Linked DNA regions of Diceros bicornis minor. The protein of the gene in region 4 purifies or fractionates together with the protein of the main gene of each other region. This does not show direct contact. Links are inferred from orthologs where the notes say so. Each region holds a gene or a part of one and is shown on either strand. Other genes may lie near its edges. The genes, in order: GCC2, MAP4K4, CTTNBP2 and ZRANB1.

The links.
Region 1: the proteins of ZRANB1 (region 4) and GCC2 purify together in Homo sapiens (affinity purification with mass spectrometry; 3 studies listed by BioGRID and IntAct, with this or other methods). This does not show direct contact. The link is inferred for Diceros bicornis minor from reciprocal best matches to the Homo sapiens genes ZRANB1 and GCC2.
Region 2: the proteins of ZRANB1 (region 4) and MAP4K4 purify together in Homo sapiens (affinity purification with mass spectrometry; 3 studies listed by BioGRID and IntAct, with this or other methods). This does not show direct contact. The link is inferred for Diceros bicornis minor from reciprocal best matches to the Homo sapiens genes ZRANB1 and MAP4K4.
Region 3: the proteins of ZRANB1 (region 4) and CTTNBP2 purify together in Homo sapiens (affinity purification with mass spectrometry; 3 studies listed by BioGRID and IntAct, with this or other methods). This does not show direct contact. The link is inferred for Diceros bicornis minor from reciprocal best matches to the Homo sapiens genes ZRANB1 and CTTNBP2.

What each region holds. Positions count from the first base shown.
Region 1 is NC_080779.1:5,477,270-5,485,191, reverse strand, and holds the start of GCC2 (GRIP and coiled-coil domain-containing protein 2), read left to right. Parts: upstream 1-4,908; 5' UTR 4,909-4,925; coding exon 4,926-4,931; intron 4,932-5,293; coding exon 5,294-5,350; intron 5,351-6,361; coding exon 6,362-6,446; intron 6,447-6,454; exon of another isoform or gene 6,455-7,296; coding exon of another isoform or gene 7,297-7,324; intron 7,325-7,579; coding exon 7,580-7,647; intron 7,648-7,922. UniProt on the Homo sapiens protein: Golgin which probably tethers transport vesicles to the trans-Golgi network (TGN) and regulates vesicular transport between the endosomes and the Golgi.
Region 2 is NC_080779.1:11,851,652-11,858,669, reverse strand, and holds the start of MAP4K4 (mitogen-activated protein kinase kinase kinase kinase 4), read left to right. Parts: upstream 1-4,018; 5' UTR 4,019-4,167; coding exon 4,168-4,224; intron 4,225-4,578; coding exon 4,579-4,644; intron 4,645-7,018.
Region 3 is NC_080742.1:68,710,227-68,717,130, reverse strand, and holds the start of CTTNBP2 (cortactin-binding protein 2), read left to right. Parts: upstream 1-3,886; 5' UTR 3,887-3,974; coding exon 3,975-4,055; intron 4,056-6,904. UniProt on the Homo sapiens protein: Regulates the dendritic spine distribution of CTTN/cortactin in hippocampal neurons, and thus controls dendritic spinogenesis and dendritic spine maintenance.
Region 4 is NC_080745.1:87,596,499-87,603,522, forward strand, and holds the start of ZRANB1 (ubiquitin thioesterase ZRANB1), read left to right. Parts: upstream 1-4,013; 5' UTR 4,014-4,362; intron 4,363-7,024. UniProt on the Homo sapiens protein: Ubiquitin thioesterase, which specifically hydrolyzes 'Lys-29'-linked and 'Lys-33'-linked diubiquitin. Also cleaves 'Lys-63'-linked chains, but with 40-fold less efficiency compared to 'Lys-29'-linked ones.

The DNA.
Region 1 (7,922 bases), on a different chromosome or scaffold from region 4:
CTCATGTCCAAGGCCTTCACCACAGAGGTGATGTGCTCAACTTTAACTTGGTTGGCAAGTTAGAAGCCTCAGTTTCAATGACCCTGAACAGGGAGCTAGGGGAGGCTGGTGAACCCCGATAAAAGTCAAGGACCTAATAACAAGTAAAGTTTCTTGGAACTATGAATCAAATGAGCAAATTCACAGTGCTCCGTCCCTCTGGAAGCCAAGGAAAAACTGCTCTTTGCCTCCCTCCCCCACAAAACAGAGGCCCAGAGCCTCACTGGGCTCTTTGGGTACTGGGGACAGTACATGCTTCATCTGAGCATTCTACTTGGTCCTTTACATTGGCTAACCCATGAATTGGTATCATTTGAGTATAGTGCAAAACAGTCTATACACTGGCAGCTGTCCAGCAAGCTGTGGCACGCTTGCTGCTTTGGGGGCTCTACATTCCTAATAACCACTTTGAGCCAGAAGTCTCTGTGACCAATGACTTTGTTGACAAGATCCTCTCGGGAAGGGAGGCAGCCTCCACCTGGAACTACTTCTGGGGGTCTGGACTTAGTGCCTCCCTAGCATCATTACCAAGTGCACCCCTTTTGAGAAGCAAATATTAGCTTGCTGTAGAACTCTTGTCAAAACTAAATGACTGACCCACGCAGGCCTTATGAATCTCCAGCCTGATATTCCCATTTTTGGGTGGCTCAACTTAGACTCTACGACTGATGATATCAAAAGGGCTCACAAAACCTTGCATGTCAAATGAAAAAGGTCTCAGCTTTACATGAAAGTGACAGCTATCTCTCTGGGGAAAATTTTACCCCCACTCAACCATGTCAGCCATTTCACTGGCTCAATGGGGCGCTCAGTTCACAGATTCCCCTAAATCTTGAGCCTGGCTAAGGCTAAGCTAAAACTCAATAGTTCCCACTGGACTGCAGCAGGTGTTCAACCTCAGTGCCAGCTTTGCACACCAAAAAGGGACCTGGAACTTCCACCCAGAGGACAGGACTCAAAGCCCTTCTCAGAGCTCTGGCCAGCACTTGCCTTGATGAACCTTGCTATGTGTTTACTGACTCTTGGGCTTTTGCCAGTGGCCTAGCTATCTGGTCTGCCACTTCGAAAACTACAGACTGGCAGATCAAAGACATCCCTGTTTGGGGCTGTGAGCTATGGAAACAAATTATAACTGCTGACCCAAACTTTCTGGGGCCCTCATGTAGATGCCCACAGAAAGGACTCATCCTCTGATGAGACTGACTGGAATCAAGCTGCTATCTGAGCCTCCACTGCCCTGGTTGTTACTATTCTGCTGCCTGGATCCATCATCACACCAGACATGACAACACATCCACCATCACAGAGAATGTACTAAGTGAAGGGCTCTGTTTCTGCAGAGGCTGCCACTGTATTCCAGACTTGTGACTCCTACCCAAAGCTGGTCTAGTTCTTTCCTGACAGACCGACCTTTGAGCCTCTTCCAGGCTATTTATTGGTGGCGCCTCATCACAGGCGACATTTTTTCAGGTTATGATGCTGTTGTTTCAGTCCAATCAGCCAACCATGGTAACACTATTGTGGCCTCTGAAACTAATATGGGTCATGAGTTTGCTTTCCTGGACAATTTCCATAGTACACCTTTTATCAAGAAAGCTACTCAACAATGGGCTGACAAGGTACTTAATGGGACTTCCACACTCCCTGCCATCTGCAGGCATTTGGTATTGCAAAACACTGAAATAGCCTCCATAAAAATCAACTCAAAAAGGTTTTTGAGGAGCCAGCCCTGTGGCGTAGTGGTTAAGTCCGGCATACTCTGCTTCGGCCGCCCAGGTTCACAGGATCGGATCCTGGGCTCGGACCTACACCAATTGTCAGCCATGCTGTGGCAGCAACCCACATACAAAATAGAGGAAGACTGGCACAGATGTTAGCTCAGAGTGAATCTTCCTCACCAAAAAAAAAAAAAAGGCTTTGACTGCCTCCCTCATATCCTGGCCTGCACACCATAATAAGGCAGCTGGTCACTAAATGCTGTCTCCAGAAAGATCATCTCCCTTCTACTGCTTCCTGGGTAATGATCAGGATGAACAGCTTGACAGTTTCTTAAAAAGTTAAATATATTCTTACCCTAGAACCCAGCAAATCCCACTCCTAGGTATGTACCCTAGAGAAACAGAAACTTGTTCACACAAAAACCTGTATATGTTTATAGCGGCTTTATTCACAATCACTCAACACTGAAACAAATCCTACAATTGGATAAACAAATTATGGTATGCTCATATAATGAATATTATTTAGCAATAAATGGGAACAAATTATTGATAAATGCAACAACTTGGATGAATCTCAAAGGCATTTTGCTAAGAGAAAGAAACCAGTCTCAAAGGTTACATACTGTATGTTTCCATTTATATGACATTCATGAAATGACAAAACTATGGTGACAAAGAATAGATCACGGTTGCCAGTAATTAGGGATGGGAGGAGTGTGTGGCTACCATGGAGTAATATGGAGGAGTTTTGGGGGATAATAAAACTGTTCTGTAGCCTGATTATGCCAATGATTACACAAGTCTGTACATGTATTAACATCCAAAGAACTCTATGCCAAAAGAAAAGTCCATTTTAATGAATGTTAATTGAAAAAATAAAACAAAAGGTGGCGAGTATAGTCTTCAAAAATGTCAATTTTTTATTCTTTTTTTAAATAGAAATATAATTGACACATATTAATTTCAAGTGTACAATTTAATGATTCAATATTTGTATATATTGGGAAATGATCACCATAATAAGTCTAGTTAACATTCATCACCATAGTTACAAAAATTTTTTTTTGCTATGAGAACTTTTAAGATCTACTCTCCTAGCAATTTTCAAATATGCAATACAGCATTATTAACTATAGTCTCCATGCTGTTCATTACATCCCCATGACCTATTTATTTTAAAACTGGAAGTTTGGACCTTTTGACTACCTTCACCCATTTTCCCCCCATTCCAACCCCCGCCTTTGGCAACCACCAATCTGTTCTCTGCACTTATGAGCTCAGTTGTTTGTTTTCGGGGTTGTTGTTTTTTTTTTGACATAATGTCAAAAAATAAAAATGTCAACTTTATAAAAGTCCAAGAAAGGCTGTGGAAATGTTCCAGATTAAAGGAGCCTAAAGAGACATCACAATTAAATGCAATACCTGATCCTAGACTGGATCTCCTACTGGAAGGGAAAAAATGCTATGAAGTCCTGTATGTTAACAGATAGAACAAATATTCCTGTAGTTTCAGTTCTAAGCTTGCTCAAAACCTGGAAAATACTGACTAATGATCTTAAGTTCTGTTCCACTGACGATTCTCTATGTCAATTAACAGATTCATTCATAACAAGTATTCATTGAGTGCCTGCTACATACAAGGCAATGGACTCAATGGAGACAGGACAACAGAAAGTCCTCTTTTTCTCCAAAGGCTGCTCAAAGTCTTGAGTTTTTCCAATACTATCTGCCAAACCATATAGTCTCCCTTCTTTAACAGTATTTGCTGCCACTGAAACATTAAAACTTTTGGTGGGTTTTAGGACTTAGTTGCTGGTTTTCTAAAACGTTGTCTGAAATTATTTTTGTATTCTGTAAAAAGTCACTCATTTAGAACACTGCACAATGTCCAGGTTTATGGGCATTTTCTCAAGCCAGCTCATTATGGAAAGAATTTTTTTCTCAAGTTGGCAAACTTTTCCTCCCAAGATATGTGTAACACCTGCGAAGTGGCTCACCTAAGGGAACTAACTTACTGACTCACTCATCACAGACTGTAGGACTCCAGCCTCATTGCTGCGACTGTCTTGGCTCCGCCTTCTCCCTGATATCAACTCTGTCCTGGGGCGGCCTTCCATCCAGTGGCAAATGTCTGCCAACAGCAATCAGGGTCGTATGTTTCTTCAGTCACGTTAAGAGAAAGGAAAACATGATCCCTAAACCAAACTCTTAAACCGCAGCGCCACACCTCACTGGTTGTACACTGAGGTCACGCACCCCCGTCAGAGGGACGTTCTCTCCCCACCGGCCGTCTAACTCCCTCTCTACCTACGAGTAACTAGCTGCCGTCCCCGAGATCCATACTACCTGCTGCCTCCTCACATCCTTTAGGCCATTCAGCCTACAGGGAGCTAAGTCACACGTTCAAGCGGCCTCGGTTAGCGGGCGCTGGCTGCGCGCACCGCGGCAAGGCGAGGGTGCGGGCCGCGGTCCAGCAAACAGGCCGGCTTCTGCAGGGCCAGCCGGGACTCCGCCGCGGCGCCCTCGGAGGGGGCGGCCTGCGCTCTCACCTCGCGCCTCGGCCCCAGCCCCCGGGCGGGCGCGTCCCCCCAGGCCTGCTCGCCCCGGGAGCCGGGAAGCCGGCCCCGCCCTGACGCCGCGCGTTCGGAGCCGGCTCGCGGGCCGTGGGGACAGCCTCCGCCTGAGACGCGCCGCGAAGGCAGCGGTGTGTCTGGCAGGCGCTCGGAGGCTTCGCCTACAGGGCAGCGTCACCGGCAGACACCTTCGGGGGGCACTCCCGTCACCGTGACACCACTTCACAGATGTGGAAAACGAGGCCCTGCGCGGCGACCTGCCCAAGCTCTCACAGCTAGAAAACCGCAGCGGCAGCGCCCACATGTGCCACGCCGTGCGATACCAGCTCAACGGCTCGCCCCGGACAACGCGCGGACGCTGCCCCCTCCCACGGGCGGGCCGCCACACGGCCGCGGCGGGCGCGCGCCGGGCCCCGCCTCCCGGATGCGGAAGCGGCAGCGCCGCCGTGCCGTAGCCATGGAGACGCGGGGGGTGGGGCCGGCCCCAGAAGCGCGACCTGTGACCTGCGCTGCAGGCTACGTCAGAGGCGGCCGCAGACGGAAGTGCCGCGCCGGCTGGGCTGCGGGGCCGCGGGCCGGCGGGCGGGCGGCCATGGAGGTAACGGGGCCGGGCCGGGGCTGCGGGCCGCCACCTCCCACCGAGCCTGCGCGCCGCGGTGTGGGACGCGGGGACGGGCCCCGGGAGAGGGCTCGGCAGCCTCCCCCCCGCGCCCGCAGCCCCGCGCTGCCTTGTCTCCCCCCGCCCCCAGATTCCGCCCCTCGCGATTGCCTGCCCCGTACAGCCAATTCTGTACGATCGGCCGCAGCCACAGACGCCTCCCTCCCGATTCTGTTTCTCACGTGAAGGGTTTCCTCCTCCTGATTCCACGGAAAGGTTTTTACCTGTAAAAGTTCCGCGAGTTCCGTCTGGGGTCAGGAACAGAGTTCTTCTGACCACCTGGGTTTGATTTTGTTTTGCAGGATCCTGTTCAAGATGGGGTGGCTTCACCAGCCACCCCTGGGACCGGGAAATCCAAGGTGAAGCGAATACTTGACTGGCAGGCTCCCTGAAGAGTGGAAGGGTGATGAATTGGAAAACTTTGGCCTGGAGAGAGGGGTGGCCTGTTTAAAATAAATAGGAGCTTTTCTCCAAGGGATCTCAATTTTAATTTACACAGTCACCCGTCTATTTCTTTCTTCTTTTTTGCTTTTAAGATTCCTAGTATGAAAAGAGTTGACTCTCTGTTTACTTCCTGCCCCTTGGTAGCCCTGCTGAGAGATTGTGCAATTTTTCAGACATTAAACAAAGCAGTCTAATTTCTGAGGATGTAAAGGGTGTAGTGGAAAGTGCGGTGACATAGGTAGGAGTCAAGGAACTCTATCCTGTAGGCCCCTCCTATGGAAAAGAAAGTTGAATTGGGTAATTTTTATGGCCCTGTACAACTTTTCACATTCACTGAATCTAAAAGATAGTGGTTTATTGCTAAGATTTATTGCTTGCATACTAAGTTTCAGGCACTTATGTAAACAGTTACTTCATATAAGCTTCATGGTAACCATGTGATAAGTACTATTGTTATCCCCATTTTACAGAAGAGAAAACTGAGCCCACAGGGGTTAATTTTCCCTGATTTTTCAGTTAAAGCCTAAATTCAACCTGATTCATCTTGTAATTATGCTTACATGTTTTCATGTGGCCAAAGACTTTTTTCAGCTTTGAATAGAGTGAACTAATTTTACAGCTCTAAGGAACTTTAAGTAGAATTAGTCCCAGTCCCCTAATTTTACAATTAAAGAAATCAAAACCTAGGAATTGTCTTAACTTATAACAACAATATATCTATATAAGTGGATATGTGCTATTTTTGACATTTCACAGTTGCTTAACTAATAATTACTGAGTTGAAGTTCATTTGCTAATTTTAAAAAATGTGTTTGACAAAGATTTATTCAGTGAGATGTTTTTATTTTTAGGCAGACATGTTTCTTTTTTATGGTATGGTAGAAACATGATTTATAACAAGTTGGTAACATCACTACATCTTTCAGCTGGAAACATTGCCCAAGGAAGATCTTATCAAGTTTGCCAAGAAGCAGATGATGCTAATACAGAAATCTAAATCAAAATGTACAGGTATTGGGTTGAAAATATTCATTTGACCATAATCTCATTTAATCTCGTGGTTAAAAATACTAGTTTTTTAATTGTACATTGGCTTGTTTTGTTTACCAGTGAATCCAACAAAATCTTAGACAATGTAGTAGAATCTGTTTTTATTTAACATTCTAATCATTTGCCTCTGATATTTTTTATTATCTCACATCTCTAAACTGCAGTTACCTTTGAATTATTAAAAGAAAGTCAGGGAGGAGGATTTTTAAAAATAGTTTTTTAAAGTTAACACATTCTTTTTTTACTCATGTAGCTTGTACGTTCTTCTGAGTAAAGCGTTTTTTTCTAGAGTAGTTGGTTGAAACATTAGAGACAACAAGTTGTGAGTTCAAAGTAAAAAGAGGCCTCAAGTAAGATAGTAAAAGATTTCCATTCCTAGAATTTTGAAGTATATTTATTTAGTGAAGTTGACTGATTCCCTGTTCAGTTTCCTTTTCTTTATATTCCAAAAGGATAACGATATTAGTATCCTTTTTTACTATGTGGGTAAGCTCTTGAATTTCCAATGACTTAACAGATGTTAACTGCCCAGCCTAAGAGCCAAGACTTAAATTCTTCTAGAAAAGGTCATATTGTGTTTTGGGAGGATAGATCAACTTGTGATAAAGAGAGTAATTTATTTGGAAAAGTTAGAACACCTTTCAGACTTCAGACCTAGCCACGAGTTGATGAAATAGGTTAACATTTATGTTTAATATGAGGTTAATTGTTGCTTTAAAATTATACAGTAAGAAGTTATTTACAGCTGAAATAATCTCTGAGATTTGCTTCAAAAATATCAAGATGGGTAAGAAAAGAGGAGAAGGAGGAAATGAATACAGATCGGGATGAAAATCAAGGTGATGGGTGCATAGAAATTAATTTACTGTTTTCTCTATTTTTTTATTTGTTTGGAGTTTTCCATAATAAAAAGGAAAATAAAAGGTAATACTGAGTGAAGTTAATGCTTTCCCCAAATATCTGCTTCTTAAATGTATTCTACTTTATAGTAGTTTTTTATGTTTTGTTTTTTTAAGAATGTACTTGTCACCTTAGCCAGTAATTATTTTCTTCGTTTCTGAACTGGAATATTTTTTTTTTTAATAATTGTTTAGAACTGGAGAAAGAAATTGAAGAATTGAAATCAAAAACTGTTGCTAGAGGAACTGATGATATTATTAAGGTAATGAAACAGTTGTGAATATTGCTTTAGTTTTTCTTTATTTACTTAGAGGAAATGTCTGATGATAAATCAAATTTCCTTGAGGGCTTTCAGCCTGCTGGAGAGCTAGCTGGCTTTCTGTCCTGTTTTACCACTTCCTCTCTGCCCTTGGTTCAGTTTTTTACCTCTCTGGTCGACTGTGAAAAGAGAGGATTAAATGACCTCTAGATCCCTTTCTGTTCTGCAGTGAGTATTATGCTCTCTCCTTTTCATTTCACACTCTGTAAGTACGGTTG
Region 2 (7,018 bases), on a different chromosome or scaffold from region 4:
TCTGCTGCCCTCCTTGCCCTGTCCCACTCTGAGGTTGAAATCAATTTCTACCAATACTTTTGCAACAAAGAAACAACTAGGCAATAAGTAAAGTGATGTACAGGGGGTTGTCATTGTTGGCCTCTTGCATAATTAAGCTCCCCCCCGAATTTCTGTGACTGAGTGTGAGATGACTGCCAGTCTGGCCCATTGTACCCAGGGAGGATGCACATTTATATCCCATGGCCTGCTGAACTCACAAGCGACTTAACTGCCATCCAAGCTCTTGAAAGCCAAGGCTAGGCTGCTTCTCCCTTGACTTGATCAATAATCTGGGTTCTGTTTTTAACCCCCACATTGCCCACACCTCAGTTTGTTTTCTGCCCCCACCTAAGCTGTCTAGCTTTCTCTCTCAGGGTAGTCCTCTGACCCAGCGTGGCCAGTTTCCTCCCTCTTTTTCCTTCTCATTCTTTGTCCAAGCAAGCTATTTTTTCCTCGAGCCTAAAATCCCAAATGAGTATTTATTTTCCAAATTATTATCTTTTTGGGTGGGTTTATTTTGTATTTTCAAATAGATTCTGGAGGACAATGGCCATGACTTAAGTCTACTTCCTGACATCACATATTGCACATGGCTTACTACAGACTGAACGTTTGAGTGCCCCCATACGTTGGAACCCTAACCCCCGGTGTGGCTGTATTTGGAGATGGGGCCTCTAAGGAAATAATTAAGGTTAAATTCATAAAGTCATCAAGAGTGGGACCCTGATGTGATAGGATAGGTGTCCTTAGAAGAAGAAACCCCAGAGAGCTTGTTCTTTCTCTCTGTGTACTAGCACTGAGGAAAGCCCATGTGAGGACACAGCGAGAAGGCGGCCGTCTGCAAGCCAGCCAGGGAGAGAGCTCTCACCAGAAACCAAATCAGCTGGAATCTTGATCTTGGACTTCTAGCCTTCAGAGAAGTGAGAAAATAAATTTTTGTTATTTAAGCCACCCAATCTACGGTATTTTGTTATGGTAGCCTGAGCTAATTAATACATGGCTGTTGATTGAGAACATGGCTCATGCAGCGTTGCAAGCTAGGCAGGTGTACACTGCTTCTGCATGAAAAGTTAGCTAACTTTGCACAGAATCCAAAACCAAACCTTCCTTTGCCACCACAACTTAGCAACTTCCATCCTTTCCTCTGTTTGTAACAGCATCCTCCCAAGTGTGAACAAGGCTCCGAACCACAAGCAAATCTTTTACCTCCTTGTCTACACTGCCTCTGGCATTCCATCAAACGCCAAATCTTAAGAGACTCTACTGGCCCAAGACCTCTTGGATCTCCTTTCTCCAAGTGTTACGGCTCTGACCTGTGCTCTTGAGATGGACTCTTAACTGTTCTCATCTCCAGTCTTCATCTCGTATACAGAAGAGGAAATAGAGGCTCAGAAGTTAAGCAACATGTGCAAGGTTGCACAACTGATAAATAACAGAACAGGGTTCAAACCCAGTTCAGTTTTGCCCCCAGTCCAGCACACTTTCCACTAGACCTGTTTAGCTTTAACTGTAGCTATTTATGAAACCATCTTACACCCATTATCAGATTGTAAGCTCTTTGAGGGGAGACTGTCTTAATCTTCCTTATATCCTGGGCAATGGCTAAGCCAGTGCCTTGCACTGGGTAGGCACTTCAAGAAAAGGTACTGAATTGAAAGTGTGAAATCACCACCACAATGGCGATATGGGAAATAGCAGTTTAGGAGGGAGATTTAGAGAAAGCTTGTAGGAGAAGGAGGAAATGGTTTCTGAGTTGAGCTTGAGAGGATGGAGAGAATTTGGCTAGGCACAGAAGAAGGGGGTGGTTTGAGGCAGGCCTCAACGTCATGAGTTTAAAGCTGAGACCGTGAACCTGTAGAGAGAGGCTGAATTGGGGGGCCCTGGCATTTCTGCACTGGGTTTAGCTGTGCACACAAAGTGAGTCACTTAACTTCTTTAGACGTTGTTTTCCTAATGCATAAAGTGGGAAAAATAAGAGTACCTATGATTTCGGGTTAATGTGAATAATAATGAGATAATATATGTAAAGAACTCAGCATGTTGTCTGGACCCAATAAGTGTTATCTATTATTAATAATAAACCACTATTAAAATATTATTACTAGTAATATGGTCTGAAAGTTCACATGTGTACCACTCTAGCTCTGAGTAAATTATTTAATTAACACTCATAGATAATGCCATTGCTGTTGATAAATTAAAAAATAAAATCATTTAAAAACACTGCTAAATTCATAGGAACTCTTTGGTTACTATGATTTTCCCAATCAATCGATTCCAGGAGTCCCTAAATATATTTCAGCCTTACAAAGGATTCTCATAGTCAAAAGTCGCAGAAACCAAATTGTTGGGAGGCAGGCGAGTGCTAAACACATTCTGGGTAGAAGACTAACTTGGCTGAATCAGAGACTTGGATTTTGGGGATAGGTAAGAATCCCTGCTCCACCTCCAGGCTATGCTTTTAAGGAATTTAGGCACATTCCTTATCTTTCAGTATTTTGGTTTCCTCCTCCCTAAAATGAGGATAACATCACTCCAGGGCTACAGGAGGGATTAAATTGAATACTGTATGTAAAGCAAGAATCGTAGATAATGATGGCAGTGCTGTTTGTGAAGCCTAATCGTGTAGGAACTGGATTTTCATCCTGTGAGCCTTCTGCTCACAGATGTGACCCCTGTAACAGTCATGTTAACATCATCTGAGAGCTTGCCAGAAATGCAGATTCTCAGACCTATCCCAGACCTGCTGAATCAGAAACTCTGCAGGTGGGACGGGCCATCAGTGCTTTTACAATCCCTCCTGCTGACTCCCGTGCACTCAGGTTTGAGAACTTGCTGTGAGGTAATAGGGAGCCATTGAAAGTTTTTGTACAGTGAGCGATGTGATAAAAATGATTGCTGTGCACAGACGATACGTTCTTGTTTCATAGGATTAATCTGCCTAACTATCGACTAGCTTCCAAAGTTGCTGGACCTGCTGTTTAATCGATCCTTAGTGATTTCTAGACCCAAAACTTGGGTTAGCACTTCTGGCCCCAGAACACTGCTCACCTACTGAGTGAGGTACGGAACTCAGCAGAAGGCAATTAGAGAAGCTGTTTTGGACTCTGTTTCCACTGAAAGTCTCGGGACCGGGCAGCCCCGTGATGCTCAGCAAACCCGGCCACTACAACCGTGTCACAAATTTAGCTCGGGAAAGAAGAGAAAGGAAAAGAGAATCCTGGAGAGAAACCGGAAATGAGGGTCTCGAGGGTATAGAGTCTGGTGGTGGGGGATGGGGATGGGGCGAAGCGGGGGTGAGGAGGGAGGGAGGCCGCTCCTCTGCTTGGAGACTCCCCCTTCATGTCCCTTTAGAGCCGGGGCGCGGCGGCGTGCAGCCTCCCCCGAGGGAAGGGTCCAGAGCCGTCTTCCTTCCCGTATTGTTGGTGCGAGGCAGGGGCGTCTCCGTGCCCTCGCACCTCAGCGGGGCCACCCCGGTGCGCGTCCCCTCCGCGCCGGCGTTTGCGAGAGCGCCGGGCCATTGTTCGGGCCCCACCCCTGCTGCATATTCACGCCCGCGCCCCGCGCCCTCCCCGCCGGGGCTCCGGGCGCGAGTGCGTTTCCGCCCGTTTTTCCTGCCGGAGAAGGAGAGGGGGAGCTGTTTGCTCTCTCCTCAGAATATATTTTTGGTGTCCCGTTTCTCCTCCTCCCTCGCCGCCGCCCCCTCGCTCGCCGCCTCCCTCCCCGCCCCCGCCCCCGCCCCCGCCCCCGCCCCCGCCCCCCGGGTTATCTTTGTCTCGCTGCCTCGCGCTCGCTCGCTCAACTCTCGGCGCCGCCGCGGCCCCACGCTCCGGGCCCGTCCTCCAGGCGCGCGGCGCGGCGCGGGCGCCGGGGCCTGAGGCGGCGGGCGACGCCCGGGGGCCTGCCGGCCGCCCGCGCCATGGTGTGAGCGCCGCCGCCGCGCGCAGCTCCGCCCGCCCGCCCTCCGCGCGGCCCGGGCCGGCCCCGAGCCCAGCCGCCCGCCGCCGCCGCCGCCGCCGCCCCGGCCTCGCGAGGCGGAGACGGGCCGCCCGGCTCCCCGCGAGAGGCGCCGCCGGCGGCCGGCCTGTGACGAGAGACAGAGACAGATTTATCGTGACTGTGTTCTTCTGGTGGCAAAAAGGGAAAATGGCGAACGACTCCCCTGCAAAGAGTCTGGTGGACATCGACCTCTCCTCCCTGCGGGTGAGTGGCCACGACGGGCCGCGCGCGGAGCGGGCAGCGGGGGCCGCGCCCTGGCCGCCGGGCGCTCGGGCGCCGGCGCGGGCAGAGGCGCGGCGCGGCGGCCCCTTTGTCTGCCCGCGTTGGCATGTGGGGGACGCGGGGCGCGACCCTCCGCCGCGCCCCCGCCCGCCGCCCCAGCCCCGGGGACCGGGGACGGGGACGGGGACGGAGCGCCGCCGGCCCCTCGGCGCTGGGGGACCGCAGCGGGCGGAACCCGCCGCCTTTGTACCCGCCCTTTCTCTCCAACTGCCTCGCCGCGTTTATTCATTGTTGTGCTGCGTTTAAATTGTAACGCCTCCCCTCCTTCTTCTCTAGGACCCTGCTGGGATTTTCGAGCTGGTGGAAGTGGTGGGAAATGGCACCTATGGACAAGTCTATAAGGTCGGTGCGGGGCGCCTTCTTTGTTTCCCGGGGCCTGTTGAAACTTCTCGTTGGGGACGAGGACAGGGTGACAAACACGCTGCTGACTGGAGGCCACGCCGCTTGGCCAGAGTTGGGGAGGGGGCTTCGCCTCGCGTTCCCTCTGTTGTTAAACAGAGTTTATGTTCAGACTGGCCTTAAAAGACCCCGTTTCCTGGCTTTGAGATAAGGAAATAAGCTACACTGTTAGGCGTGCACTTTTCTTCACTAAAATGGGAACGCAGTTCATAAGATCGCTTTAAGTTTTTCGTTTTTCCCAAATCTGGCCTTCTGAGTTTGTGTGTTAATTACGATAAGTATAGGCGAGCCTTGGCCTTCTTGGAAATTGTCATCGTGTTTCCTCGTTTGAATGCCTGCCGAGTGCTCAAGGTGCGGAGTTCGGTGTTGCCTGGGACTGCTCTGTATCTCTGGGGTACATTCTACTGATGGATACGTATTTCGGGGAGGCAGGGAGGGGTGTGTGTTTGGGCAACAGGAGCAGGAAGAACTACAGTGTGAGGATTATAAAATCTGAATTCCAGGAATAACCTGTTTGACAGGTGTGTAATTGAAACAGAAATGAAGGAGAGCTAGAAGTCAAGAGGATGCGTGGATTTCACATCCAGCCCAGGTCTTTCTCTTTTTTTACCCGCCCCCCCCCCACGGTAAAGGAAACTAACAAATCTGGAGACCATGAGTCTGCGCTGAGTAGCTGACACCTGATGTGACTAACAGCGCTGTTCATTTTAGCCAGTGCACATTCTAGATCTTATGAAAGAGCTGTAGATAATGGGGGCGCAGGCCTTGAAAATTTGAAACAGTGTTTCAAAATTCTCCTTGTTTTGGTTTGTTTCTTATTTCTAAACGTTTTCTAACAGTTATCTGCGTTGGGGGTGTTTGCTAGCTGTTAGAGTCCTAGAGGGTTGGAATAGAAAAAAATATCTTATGAAGCAGGGCTTTGTGGTTCACCATGAAGAACTGTCATTGTCTCATTAAAAATGGAGGGGAGGGGGGTTGGAAGCTGACTGTAGACGTTTTCTTAGGCCAAATTAAGTGTGGATCCTATTGTCTCTTTTCTCCTTTATGAAGAGGGTTTATCTGTCACTTAAACACCTCTGCCCAACCTCAGCTTCCCCTGGCCTGGGCTGCGTACTGGCCTGTGCTCTGAACTTGAGTCAGTATTCTTAGGTGATCTCAAGTGAATTAGCATGTGTTTTGTTGGTTAACTGTTGGGGTTGGGGCCAGATTTTTGAATTTGAAAGGGAGCCCTGTTAACTCAGCCTCCTGGGCTCAACTGAATTTGGAAGGCTTTAGAAAATTTTGGAAAAGATTGTGTTGCAACTCTCTGAGTGGCCTGTTAACTGGCTTCAAGACACTCTCCTTAGCCCCCCCAGTGTTTGTTTAAGCACCAGTGGGTTTTTTCTAACCCAGTTTTTCTGGCCAAATCTAAGTGGTGAGTGTACTCTTCCAAGTGAGTTAGCCAAAGCTTGTTTTTGCCCCGGTTACACAGTAGTTGGATTGTTTGTCTCTTCTTCAGTCAGCATGGATGTGAAGGGCAGTGAAGTAAACTAGAAGCCAACTGTGTCTGTTTTTAAACTGTGAGAAAAAAGAAAGAAGGAAACCTGAATGTATATTAATTGGTTTAAGAGGTGGGAGCTCTTGATGGTAACAGTTTGGGCAGGTTCGTTGTTAGTATTCCCCTCCTCGTTTCCTCTTGGGTTCCATCCTCTCTTTCCCCCAAGCTTTTGAAATAGATTTGCTGAGCACTACATTTGGGAGTATATGGGAGACTGGCAGTGACACAAGTCTCTGACTACAAAGTCTGTACGGTTGAGGAGAAATTCTCAAATTATGCGAACCTAAGGAATTAAGAAATCTGTGCAAAAGCGGCATACAATCATGAACAAAATAGTGCCTGAGATTTTGCTCACCAGCTGTTCTCTTTTATTATTATGGAAAATTTCAGACATACACAAGGAGGGAGAGTAGATCATCCTGCTTAACAGTTACCAGCACATGACTAATCTGTTTCATCTATAGTCTCCCTCTCCTCCATTATCTTACTGGAAAGCCTAGATACCATTTCACCCATAAATACTTGAGTGTGTATTTTTTTGTTTTTTAGATAGTCACAATGCCATTCTTACACCTAAAAAATTAATTCCTTAGTATCACATATTCAGTGTTAACGTTTTCCTGATTGTTTCATACATGTTTCATTACTGTCATGAAATTCTTTAAGATTTGTGGACTGATACTGGGAAGTTTAGTCTTAGAGATGGTGGAAATAGTAGAGGCAGTTAACATCTCCATTTTCTTCTCTCTTTAAATTATAATTTGTAGAACCATTTACACC
Region 3 (6,904 bases), on a different chromosome or scaffold from region 4:
CAGTGGGCCAGATTCCTTTGTTAAAATTGTTTTTCCATAATAGTTTTGCACTAAAACATCCTTCTGCACTAAAACTTACTCTTGTAAATGACTTCTGCAGATAAGAGTCCAAACCAAGTAATGGTCTAGGATTTTAAAAACATTCAGTAAAACTGAACCAACACTGCTTCATTGTTCTGTATTAGCCCCAGTTTCTGTTCTTAGAGTGACTAGACTGGGGAATAATATTCTTACTGTACCTTTAACTCTTTAATGAGATCTTCTATTTGGACATCACTTTAGCACTGAATAACCAAATACAGTTCCTAGCTAGAGGTGGTATTAAAAGGGGCTGGGAGTGATTATAATGATATATTTATGTTTAGCTTTGGCTCGCTTCCTACCTAGAAGATTTAATTTCCTAATTATGTTTTGCTTTAGCTTAGGTAAAATTAGCTTGCATTCCCTTGGCACACACCAACTGCAGTTGGTGGAGGAGGCCTTCCAAAACCATAGGTTGTTGACAGGAGTGGCTAACTAGATTAGGATTAAATTTACTGAGTGAAATCCACAAAGAGCCTAAACACATGTAGATAATAACAAGCTGATGATGAAGGAATGTAGTCAGGTCATATGAAAACTCGTTTCTGGCAATGTCCTGGTTTCAAAAACATGTGATAGACACAGGGCACTCCAAGCTCATCTGTGCTCTTTGTTAGACTTCCTGATGTCAGGATTTGGGGCTTCCTAGGTTGGTCACCGTGGTGTAGACAGGGATAAGTGTGGTCTGGAATATTTAAATTGTATAACTATAGCCTTGTGGATACAGTCAGAAATGATTTGCTACTCAGTAATTTTGTCATTTGGCAATACTAAGACATGATAACATATGGTTTGCTCTTTGGAGTTAACATAAATGTTGTCATTTGACTGAAATAAAGAATTCCCTTATTCCAAGAGGGAAACTGTTTTAGGATATGTGTATGTTCTTTCATCTTTTCGTATGGAAGGAAGCATCTCGTCCCATCATTATGTATAACTCGCTGGGTTTTTGGTTTAATGGGTTGGAGGCTGTGGCTGGTGAGGCCAAGGCCATGGTTTAATCAGAAAACCACTTGGCTCCCCAACTACAGTCTGCATTCCTAGCTGCAGCAACCCATTTCACTGGTCTTAAAAGAGAATCTTGAAGAATGCTCTAAGGCTCAGCACAAACACCTCTGTTCCAGGATTCAGAAAATAATTTGTCTCAAATTCTTTTGTCAGTGGGTCATCTACATCATTATATTCAAAGGAGAAAAAAATGTAACTAACAGTTTTCTCTGTTTGCAATAGATTCAATCTCTTTTCATTTTAATGCTGAAAGAAATTCACGGATTAAAAATCATGATTCATTTTTGTTATAGGGATTTCTTTTCTTCCTGCTTATACTTCCATCTCTCTTCTTTTCCCCTGCCTTTCAGAAATTTTCTCTTCAGCCCTGGTATGTCTTTTTTTTCAATTTACTTAGCTGTTTAATGAAGCTTCAAAAGATTTAATTTCTGGAGCCATCAAGTCACTACCCTTTCAGATCTATTTGGTTTGACTCTAATAGAGCTTGTCTTTGTGCAAAGAAAGTCTTTCAGAAAGAGTTAATTTGCAATCTCAACAGAGGCTAATTCTCAGGAGAGATTTTAAACCAGCAAGTGTTCTCCTGGTGGAGAAGCAGCCCGGGGCCAGGCCACTGTGAGGGAGTTAACTCCTAGCGTGCTTCTTCTGTGCATTAGGGTGGGATATTCCATCAACCCTCCGCAGCAGGCAGTGACAGCTTTAAGGTACAGACAAAACCCTGTTTATTTTCCTCCCCAGGTCCGGGACTTAGCAGTTAGAAAATGTGCTGTCTTGTGATTTTTTTTTTTCACAGGAAAAAGAAAAAAAGGAGGTGAGAGGGAAGAAACCACTCAGGGATTCATTCCTTTGTGGGGTGATTCTGCTTTAAATTGTATTTAGACTAATAGAAGCTACTTCTTCCCAATGATGATTTTTTAAAATTGAGCTGCATGTATAAAATAAATGGGATTTGCTTTCCAGGGATATTGTCATGTCATATTCCCAGTTCTTAACCCCTAAGTGAAGTTTATTATTTTATTCTTTTGTCTTTTTTCAGAAGTGAGCCAGTTAATTTCTTGGGTAGTAATTCAGCATCAGTATCAAGCATCAGTATCAAGAAAATTCATTGCCTTGTGATGTGTGAAAATGCATTTTGAAAAGAACAAGGAATGCTTTTGGTTCCAACTTTAAATTTTTACTACCACTTCAGCATCTAAGTTTTACTGTCAAACGCTTTTCTTTCATCTTATAAGGAGTCTAGTTATTCTAATAGTGAGCAATTTCAGAGAGAATATTTGATAAAAGAAAGTGGTATAATGAACAGAGATGGAAACCATAAAGTCTAAGAGAAGGAGTAGCTCTCAGAGTAAAGCCAAAGAAAATAAACAAATGAGCACCTTTGTCTACAGGATAACCTGGAGGTGATTTCTAAACCTGTGACCCTTAACCCCAGGGCTCCAGGTGAAAGTTCTTTCTTGATGTAGACCTCTTCTGGGAGGAAACTTTTTACAATTTATTGATCACTCTTTTTCAGGGTCTTTGCAGAAAAGATGTCCTCTGCCCTGGTTTGTGTCATATTTAGATGCAATTTGGATAGTGAAGCAATTAAAGTGCCAAAACCTTTCATTAGGTGTCTGCCATTTTTTAAAATGAGCTTGATCTGTAACCCTTGGACTGAACATTCCAGTCATTCATCTTCCAGAATTTCAAGTCCAGGATTTGGTTGTGGTTTGATTTTACTTCGTTGAGACACAGCCTGAATGCCTCCATTTGATTTTGCGCTTCCAACACATTTTTGGGATCTGGTGATTTGGGAAGGCCTGTACCATATGGTCTTGATAAGATTTTCACATCCTGGGAATTGGCAGGAAAGGGTAGGAATTGAATCAGATGTGGGAAGGGAAAATTAAGAGTTTGGACCTAACTCACTCATATCATGAAATATATTCTGAGACCTATTATTCCCATAAAATCAATTCTTAGGGAAGGTTTTTTTTTTTTTTTTTTTTTGGTGTGTGTGTCTTCAACACATGGGAGTAATTCCTTTAACTTCTCTTAAAAGTTGAAAGCTTCCTTTTGCAAGCAATGACACAAAATTTCTTGGTTAGTCCTTCAGAAAATAACTCAGACTTGGAGTCAAAGAACAAAAAGGAGCCTTGCTTCACCTTTCTTGAAAAAGAGATGGAATAGAAAGGTATAGACCCAGGGGCCAGGTGCAGGGTAATAAAGGGTACCAGGACGCATTTTGATCTGGGAGTTGTTGGTTTTGGGAGAAGAAGAATAAGACAGAGGCAGACATAGACACTAGGAGGGTACAAACGCCCCGGCGGCAGTCTTGCCAAAAAAAAAAAAGAAAAGAAAAGAAAGGAATTTAAGAAAAAGAAAAGGGTGCCTTACGTGATTCCTAGCGGCGGGATAGAGAGGACTGAAGCGAAGGATTTTTCCTTGCTTTACAGAGAATTCGGATTCTGGAGGCCTGACATTTAATCCGGTGGGTCTGCACCATCCGCTTCGTGGGGGCTGTGCTGGGCGGGCGAATCACCTCTTGGGCTCTTTCTTTCCTTCACCTCACCCAGCGGCTTTCATTCTCCCATCTCCGCGCCGCGCCATAACCTGGCCTGGGCATGTGCCCATTTCCCGTATCTCGACGAGCCGGCTGAGGGCTGGCGCCGGGCGCGGGGCGGCGGGGCGGGGAGCAGGCGGCGGGCGGCGCTCCGGCGCGCAGCGGGTTAAAGCGGCGGGGGCGGCGGCGAGGGGAGGAGGGAGCGCGGCGGCTGCGGCGGCGGCCGGGCTGCGAGCGCCCGCGTCCGCGTCCCTGGACCGCAGCGGGTTAAGCGCCGCCCGCGGCGAGAGGGCTGCACCCGGAGCCGCGGCTCCGAGCTCGCATTCGGATCCGCTAGGGCAGGAAGATGGCGACGGACGGCGCGAGCTGCGAGCCCGACTTCTCCCGCGCCCCCGAGGACGCGGCGGGGGCCACGGCGGAGGCGGCGGTAACCGTGGTCCCGGGGTGGGCGCGGGGTCTCGGGGTGGGCGCCCCCGGGCGCTGCGCAAGCCCGCGCTCCTCGGGGTGCCCTCTCCTAGGGGTGCCCCCTCCTCGGGGAGCTCTCAGGGCCGGAGGCCGGGTCGAGTGGGGCGAGGCGGCCGCCCGGGCTAGGGATCCCCCTTGTCCTTTCCGAGCCCCGCGGGAAGCAGCCCCGGTCCGCCCGGTTCTCGGGGCTCCTGCGTGCGTCTCCTGCGACCCCTACGCCCACTCCCTCCGCTGAGGTCGGGTTTGGCCCCCGGGCGAGGACTCGGGTGTATTTCCTGGCGAACTTGACCCCCCATTGTTCGCCTCTCGCTGCGCGCGTGGTTGTGGGCGCGTGTCTGGGGGGTGCCTGGCACTTCTCGGCGGACCGGGGAGAGCAGCGAGGGGGAGGCGGGTCATCGTCGAGCAGGTGTGGGGATGCCCATTGTGTGTGTGTTCGTGTGCCGGGGGCCCCTTGGGAGAGGCCCGGTGTCCAGCTGTGGGCGCTGCTACCGCTGAGCTCCGGCGCTTTGGGTCCTAGCTGCCTGCTGCCCCATCGCTTGGTGGTAGTGGCTTTTGGGGGTGGAGGGGCGGGGGGGAGTGTTCTTGTTCTTCCCGAAACGATGCCTGGGCGAGGTGGAGGTTCAGCACCTGGTATCAACACATTGTTCTTTTTTGCTGGGGGTCTGGAAGCCGAATGAGCTTCCATCCATCGCTAGTTCCCATTTTCACCCCCAGAATATTCCCGTGCACAGAGGCTCAATGGTGGTTTCTAGCTTCTACCCTGGGGGAGGGCTGGATCCACATTTCCTGGGTGGAAACGTTCTCGGGGTTTGGGAAGCAGCTTCGCAGGAGCTGCAAGGATCTGCAAAGAAAGGCAGCTCTGGGAGCGCCTCCCACCCTTGGCGCGATCCCGCTGCTCCCGCCAGAGATTCCGGGTGGGATGGAGTGAGCGGAGCAGGGATGGCCCTCAGTTCTTCCCATGACCTGAGCAGAGTTGCTGCACGAGTGGCAGAGGGCAGGGCCAGGTGTAAATAGCCAGGGCTGCATTGACTTCCTCTCTGTATAGAGGTAGGGCTTTCTGGAGAGGGAGAGGAGAGATGTGGAGGAAGTACTTGGGCTTGAGAGGAGCTGAGCCAGGGAAGGAAAGGAAAAAAAGAGGGAGGGAAGGAAAAACGGAGGTGGAGGGCTGCTGATTTCCGCTTGTGAAACTGGCAAGTTTTGATCTGAAACTTTTAGGAAAATTGATTTTTCATTCTTTACATGGAAAATATGAACTTTCTTAAGATTTCAAATGAAACCTGCCTACTTTTGATGCCGTGAATCCGTTTCTCTCTGTGAGGTACAATAAGGAAGCCAGCTATTAAGACAACAAGCCTCTCAGAGAAGTTGAAATGGTTGGGTACCTTCATCCCTAAGAGATGGTAAGGGGAGGGGAGTGAGAAGAAAAAGAAAGAGGGGAGTGTGTGTGTTTCTCCTTTCCCAGGAAGGTTGAATTTGTTTGTTTAATGGACTTAAAATGGGCTTCGTCTATTACCCTCAATATTTTAATCACCTGACAATTAAACCAAACACAAACATCTGATTTATGGTCTGTAACCGATCTATAGTTTTATTTGGATAGATTGTAAACAGAACCTTGGATGCTAGGTGGATTTTTGTGTTAAGGAGGTCAGTGCTCCCTTTCTGATGCTTAAAATTTTCAGGAGTCAGATTTTCACTGCTGATGGGTAGGGATTTGATCATTTCACCCTGGTTAATGGGAATAGCTATGGAAAATCTGTGAAAGTCCTTTGATATTTCCATAAAATTCTGAGGAGATGCAATAAGGACTCTTAATCTGATAGTTTTCTGAAATAATTTTTGACTTTTTAGTAAAATTTTGATGATGGCTTCTTAGGCAGTAAACTGAGTATTTTACTTTTCACTTAAAGTACTCCCATATCAGCCTCTTGACCTGTAGACTGATTTTTAAGTTAAAGAAATCTAGGTTGAGGAATGATATTTGTTGTTATAACTGCTCCTTATCTAATGATTAAAAATCAAAGACGTTTTTAGGCATTTTGGGTTCATGGCAACTGAGGACTTAAAATTTTTTTCGTTTTTAGTGAATAATTCTTTTTTGCATTTTAGAGATTTCATTTCAAGTTGGTTTACATATTATGCATTTCCTATGTACATTTGGCAGTTATGAGCCAATGGAGATTCCAAAGCAGTAGGCTATTTTTGAAAGTGAGTGTTTTCACTAAGTTTTGACTATTTAGATTGTTGCTTAGAGACAAGTTTAATTTATAGTTTTCAGCTTAATATGATTTTCAGTGGAGTGTTTTAAATTTAGTTTGTGATCCTTGTTCTTAGCTGTTTAAATCCTGAAAGCATCCCAAGTGTAGAGCCGGGTAACGGCTACATTATTCAATAGGATCATATTAATAGTTTTTGCTGTGATCCACGCCGGGAGACCTGCTATTTTCAGTGCCTTAGCAAAATGTGACTTTTATAGGCTATATTGCTATTTCTACTCTGAAAAATAACTTCTGATGGACAAGGCACTATGGAAAACAAATCTTCCTGCTTTTTATTGTCACCAAAGAATTGAAGAGTGAAAGGAAAGTGGAGCTCTTTTTAGAGCTATGTTTGGGAAGCTGACCAGCATTCTTGTCATTCTGGACTTTTCTGGAGCAGCTAATACGCAAAAAGTAGATATAAATTTTGTTGTCACAGTGATAGTGGCAAGAAGAAAAATTTGGGCAATTTTGTTAAAAATGCACAACAGTAACATTAAACAAATTAACTGGCACCTTGAAATTTTTTTTTTCCAGGTGACAGAATTGAATG
Region 4 (7,024 bases):
ATTTTGCAGTTTATACAACTGATATTTTCTGCAGCGTGGCTGAGAATTTGTTCTTGTAACAATTGAACTTTCTAGTATTCTTTTGAGGGGAGCTCACCAATTTTATAAAACTTGCTTCATAAAAGCACAGATCCCCCAACAGACCCTAAGCAAGCTGGACCTATTATCATGTCCTTCAGCAAAGAGCCTTTAACTTTCCTTATTTGGACAGGTCCACCTCTCGGTAGCCTCTGTGGTCTGGCCTCCCTGTTCTAGGCCTGACTCAGGGCTGCTCGACCTCCTGGAGAAAGTGGTTCCTTGTAGTTCTTTCTTCACTCTTCTCAGTTTGCTTCCTCACAATCCTTGTCCCAAAGTCCCTCTGTTCTACTCCAGCTCCCAGCCCAACCCTTAGCAGGTGACCTGCACTTGATTCCCCCAGAGGAGAAAGGATACGAAGTCCACTCCATCACCTCTCTCTCTCATCAGAATCTCTCTGCAGCTCTATTTTTCATGTCTTCCTTTCTTCTTGTTTCTGAGAAAGAAAGCACCCCCTCCCCCCGCTTGCCAAGACAAATCACTGTGCTCTGGATTACCTTCCTCCTGGATTTCAATCATTTTTGTTTTCCCTATCTACCTTCTCTCTGCTCACAAAAGTGCTCAGATATGCTCACTCTTTAAAAAAATATGTATAAGAAAACAGACCCTTTCCCTCATTCTTGTTCCTCCCTGTGTCTATTCTTCCATCTCCCTCCTTCCCTTCATTGCCAAACGTCTTGGACTGGTAGACTATAATCACTGCTTCGATGCCCACACATGCCTTCAGCTTTTGAAATCTGGCTTCTCTCCCTACCACCCTACTGAGAACTGTTCTTTAGAAGGTCACTAAGCCTCTTGTTTGTCAAATCCAGTGACCTTTTCTGTTCTCATTCCTGAGTCTGTAGAATCTGACATTGTTTATTACCACGTTCTTGAGGCTCACTGCCCCTCAGCTTCTAGAACACCTTTTTCATCTGTCTGACGAATCTTTCTCTCCCCCTTTGGTTGTTTTTCTTTTTCTCTCCCACTCCTGTGGCTTCAGTTGCACGTCTACATAGATAACTCCCTGAGGTTTATCTCCAGCTCCAGTCTGTCAAATTTCAGACCAGCATTTCCCCTGCTTGCTGCACATTTCCTCCTGAGTCTAGGGTCTTGACATACCTGACCCGTAGTCAACATCTCCCTTCCTTTAGTTCCTCTCGCGTATTTCCCACTGTTAATCACACCACTATCATTCAGAGTTCTCTGACTTGTGATTCTTTCTTTTGCCCCAGCTTCAGACACTGGCAACCCCTGAACATTCTACTGCCCCCCTGTTTCACCCCCGCCCTACCCTGTCCATTCCACAGCTACTTTGGTTTTGGTCCCTCTTTCTAATTTTACCCCAGTTTGTCCCACAGACATTCCAAGATAAGGTATAGCTCTACTACCGGCACTTTCCTGCTCAAAATCTTTCCATGGCTTATACTAGTAATGAAATTAAGTACAGATCCATGATTTGGCATTCAAGACATTCACGATAAGGCAGACAAAGTAAAATGAAATTACATCTTCTACAAGTAGTTTGGGGAACACCTGAAATAAAAGCCAAAACAAATTAATTGTCAACAAAACTATAGTGTCCCTACATTCTAGTACAAGAGTTCTAAGAAAAAAAGCCTTTTTTTTAAACAATGGATACCTTTTTCCCCCAAATGAAATATTCCTCAGAACTCAGAAATATATGTAAGGAGAATGATAATTTAATCTCTTGTGCCAAACAGCATGAATCAGTCCTTAACTGTGACAGTGCTATCTACAGCATTTGTTGACATCTTTTTTACTCAAATATGGTGCAATGGAAAGAAGATTTAACTGAGAAATCAAAAGCTTTGTGTTCTAATTCCAAACCTAGATGGTCTGGCTTTTGATAAGTCACTTAAAATCTCTAGGCATTAGTTTCCACAGCTGCAAAGTGCAGGGGTGGGACTCTGTCAGTAGCTGGCTGCATACTACAGTCACCTGGGGAGTGCATTTAAAACATAGCCATGCCCAGGCTCTCCTCTTGGGGACAGTTTCAATAGGGTTGGGGTGGGGCCCAGATATGTGTATTTTCAAAAAGCTCCTCAGATAATTCTCACGCATAGCCAGGGCCTGGACTGGTATCAAGCATGTTTTCAGCTTTAACAGAGTCATTTTTGGATTTGCTCTTCCTCTCAATTATAACACAATTTTCATTTGAATTTACTTAGCACATTCCACCTCATATTATAATTACGGTTATTTTTGTCTTGTCCTTTTTCCTAGGCTGTAGTTTCCTCAAACACAATGTGTCTTACTCATCTTTGTGTGATTCTTGTTCCTTGGCACATGGTACTTAATTTATGTTTGCTAAATTGAGTGAAGAGTTAATAAGCCTTACCCAAACAATACCCTCCTCCCTTAACAAAATAAACTCCAACTCCAACTAAATAAAAACACCAAATTCTGCGGTTCTTATTAACTTGTAGGTGAGACGCTTTGCAGCTGAGGTTCAGGAAGGGGAAGCTGGAGGCACTCAGAATCTCTTAAGATATTTTCAAAGCGAAATGTTGATTCAACCATTTGTTCTTACACAATGTGGTGTTTAATTTTACCTAAATTGTGTTAATTATATGTTTGAGGATGTGTGTAAAGTTTTGTAGGCAAATGACTATTGCAGTTTAAACTCAACTTACTGGCAACTTCTTGAGCAAATAATGTTGCTCTGGGAATATGGGGATTATTGAAAATGTCTATATCACAGGAATGGCTATGAGGATAAAATATACCAACGATTATGAAAGAGGTTGTTGGTGAGGAGAAGCTACATAAGGTATTATTCTTGAATGGCTATCGTGAAGCTGTACACACATATTTGCCATATTTATGCAAAGAGAGACTGAGGTTTACAACTTTTAAAGAGTTGCTGTGTTTTATAGTTTTTTAAATTATTGAAATAAAAAATTTCAAGTATGAAAATGCAAGGTGAAGTCCCACTGGGAAAAACAAAGCTCTCCAGCTGGAAAAATCTGACACACTCATGGGGTTTTAGCAAATGGCTAAATGACTCAGTCTATTTGGCTATATTTACAGTAAAAAAAAAGAAAGAAATATATAAAATACACCATATATTCTCTTTAGAACTTGGGCTCTGGGAATTTTGGTTTTTTTTCCCACGGCTGTAATTTATCCTCTGCCTTAAATCTACAATTTACAGAAAAGGCAATCACAAGAAAGCTGGGTTTGCCCAAAATTAGAGCTAGGAAGTAGTAGAAGAGAGCGAAAAGCAGTTTCCATGCCTTTTTCTGTTAAAAAAAAAAAAAAATTTTATTGAGACATAATTGGCATATAACTCCACGGCTTTTCACCATGCATATATGTATGTATACATGTAACATATATAAATATACACATACACATATAAATGGATAGCCGCCTCGAAGGCAGGAGTAAAAAACAGACATTGTAAAAAAACAGATACATGAAAAAGAATCACAAACAACCTAAACGTTTATCTTGCCGGTGTCTTACAAAGACTGTGACACCGTATCAGAAAGAGTGAAGCAGAATCCGCACTAAGCAGCTCACGGGCGTGCCGTGAGACCCGGGGGTTGATTTTGCAGTCTGGTGAATCTGTCGCAGAGAAGAGGCAGAGGGAGACGGACAGCGAGAGAACGCCCCCGCGCCGCCCGGCTGCGTCTGCCCCCCCCGCGCGCGCCGCGCCCCCGCGTCACCTCCCGGCGTCCCCCGCAGGTCGCACAGGGCCCGTAGCGGGCGCCGGCGGGGCCGCACACCGGACTGGGCGCGGGGCGACGCGCCACGGCCTCACAATAGGGCCGGGCGCCGGCGTGACGTCACCTCTCCGCGGCCCGCCTCCTGCGCCCGGAAAGAGGCGGCCGCCCATTGGCTGCGCCGCTGGCGGCCTCGGGGCCAATGACAGGGTGGCGAGCGGCGGGGTCCGGTCTTGACGTTGTGTTGCTCGCCGTGGGGTTTATTTGGCTCCGGGGCCCCTCGCCGCCGCCGCCATTAGGAGCCCGCAGCGCCCGAGGCCGCCTCCCCTCGTATCTCCCCCGGCCCCCCGGCGCCCCCCCGCCTCCGCGGCTGCTCTCCGCCCCTCCGCCCCCGGCAGCCGCGCGCGGGCCCGCGGAGACCATGTCCTGACTGAAGGGAGAGGGCGGAGGCGGCAGCAGCGGGGCGGGCGGCGCGGAGGGAGGCGGAGAGGGGCCGGGCTCGGCTCGTCGCCGCGGGCTGCTCGGGGAGTCGCCGCTGCCGCCGCCGCCGCCGCCGGGCGCCGAGCGTCGGACGGGGAGGAGGAGCAGGAGCTGGAGGAGGAGCCGCCGCCGCCAGGTAACCTGGTCCCGGGAGGGCGCCCTGCCGCAGGCCCCTCGCGGCCCCCGCCGCGGCCTGCCCGGCCTCTCGCTCCCTGGCGGCGCCCAGGCCGCCGGGTCTCCCGGGCCGCCCGCCCGCGCCCCCCGGGGCGGCATCGCAGGCGAGGGGAGGGGAGGAGAGGGGAGGGGGCACGATCTGCCGCCGCCGCGCTTCCATCTTGGGTTTTCCCGGTGCGAGGACAGGCCCGGGGCTGTGGGAGGGTGGGTCCGCCCCGCTTGTTTACCGGCCATCGATCAGCCGCGGATGGACGCGCCGCCTGCCCTGTTACCTCTCTTCCGCCAGATTTTCCTCTCAACTTCTTTTCCTGCCACCTACGGGTGGGTGAGTGGGGTTTCGCTCCCACTCTGCAGTAGGCCGTAAATACTTGGGTCCATCACCACAAGTTGGTGCTGGTCTCCAAACTTGTATTTCAGTCCCTTCGCCGTTTCCTTTCCGCCTCCCGCGGTGGCCTCCCGTTGTTGCCATTTCTGTTTAAGAAAATAAAGGTGGGGGGCACCGGGGGTGGGCTGGGGAGGAGGAGCTGGAACTAGTGGAAAGATTGTCTGCCCCTCTCGCTCGCAATAACGATTGTTCAGTGCAAGTGTCTTATTTTCTTCGCTGTGGCTTCGTGTGGGTCATTTAACAAACAAAAGGACTGTAATGAATACTTGCATTAAGCACAGGGGACGGGCAGTTTAGGTTCAGTCTGGAAGTTTGAACCGGCCTATTATCTTTGAGATACACTGGTGTTTTGAAATTCTCTTGCTGAGAATTTTGAATATCAGTCAATTGATTCCCCCTTTCCGTAACTCCAAAGACTGTCAGGTTAAACGCTGTCCCCTCTACCCGATATTTTGATTGGTTTGCTCCCGGTATGATCTATGGTGTTGTCAACAAATTTAATGTACAGAAATACTGTTTTGGGAACACAGTTGAAGAGAAGTCTTTAGCTCTTGGAAATGTGATATAATGAGTGGTTCTTCTATTCTTTATCACTTGTGCGACCTCAAGGGTACCCTGGTTTTGATCAAACTTGGATGACTCAGTGTACAAATCATAAGCCAGGGAAAACCATAAGGAATTTTATGTTGGCTTGTGCCAAGGGCCTTGGGAAAGTCATCTAAACTATGTTTGTGAAAAATAAAGCTGGATCTCTCCTCTTGGTTATTATTGTTAAGTGAGATGATTCTAAAGAAATTTAGAACTCTCGCCTTGATTTTTGAATCTTGCAACAAGATGTGCAGTCACCTCCTTATACTAAAATTTCATAACATTGTTTTTATTGGGCTGTTAGGGGAACTCGGAGGACAGTGAGTGACGACACATTTTAATCTTTGGTGAGGATATTTGAATATCATGAGGGATTTTTATTTCTGCTGATGTTTCAACACCTTTTATTAGTGCCTCAGAGCATTGAGACCCATTTATTTACTCTTGAAATGTGCGTGGGTCAGTATGATGAACTCATTCATGGTAGTATATTTTAAGCCTATGGCCTAATCCAGCTCTGTATACTGATAAGGGTTATGGCATATCACATTTAAAGCCTGAGGATTAGCATAGTTCTGGAACTCACAATTCAGTTGTACAATATTTGGAGTAAATTGCCTGTTATGTGTAATTGATATAGTGAGAGCTGTTCAATGTGCTTTATACTTATATTGCTTTTATAATAAATGGAAACTTTAAATATATGGGAGTTGCAAAAGTAGACCACTGTCACTTTTTATTTAATTTGGTTCAATGTATTATTTGAGCATTGCTGCTGGAGTCCCTCTTCCCCCAATAATAAGCCCTTTTACCTGGGCTTTGAATACGTTTTCTCCCAGTGATGTGATGTTTCAGTTGGAAAATTGTGCTCTGCTTATGCTTTGGGTAAATAATACCTTGCACATTTTAACACACTCAGCTCCTCACATCACAACCTAAAAACTTCCACAACGCTCTTGATTACATGCAAAGTGAAGTTTAAGCTTCTTGGTGTGGTGTTCAAGTTTCTCTATAATCTGGCCCTGATCCGTTCTTCAGTCTTAACTCTTAGTTCTTCCCTTTGTGAATCCTTAGTTCCAGCCAAACTAACGTGTTTGTTGTTCCTGTGAAGTCCCTCCTCTTGGCCTTTCTGTTGGAAGCCCTTTTCTGATTGTGTTCATGGATACTCTCTTGACTCCGGACCTAGTTGAGCCCTGTCTCTTGAGAAGCCTTTTTGACTACTTCAACCCCAAGGCATCTAGTCACTCCTCTCTTGTGTGGGACTGTTTCTTTTTTTTCCCTTTGCGTTTGCTGGCCTGGATTTCAGTTTATCTTTTATGTTGTTATTCTACTTCCCCCAGTTAGACTTTTAAGACCTCTGAGAAATGGATATGAACCTTGAACACTATTATGTATGCAGACCATGTATTCAGCACTGAAAATATGGATACATGCTCTGACAAAGTATTTTTGGTTATAGATGTGTTCTGGGATGTGCAGTTTGTACTCTTCTAAGTATTGGAGTTTCTGGGACTTTGATGATTTATGAGACAAAATATTTGAAATTATGACTGTCTCTAAAAAAACTTTTTTGGTCAGTATGTTTATAACTATTATCAGCATAGTTCTCTTCTTGTAGAAAATGCTCAACATTTTGATAATGATTATGTCT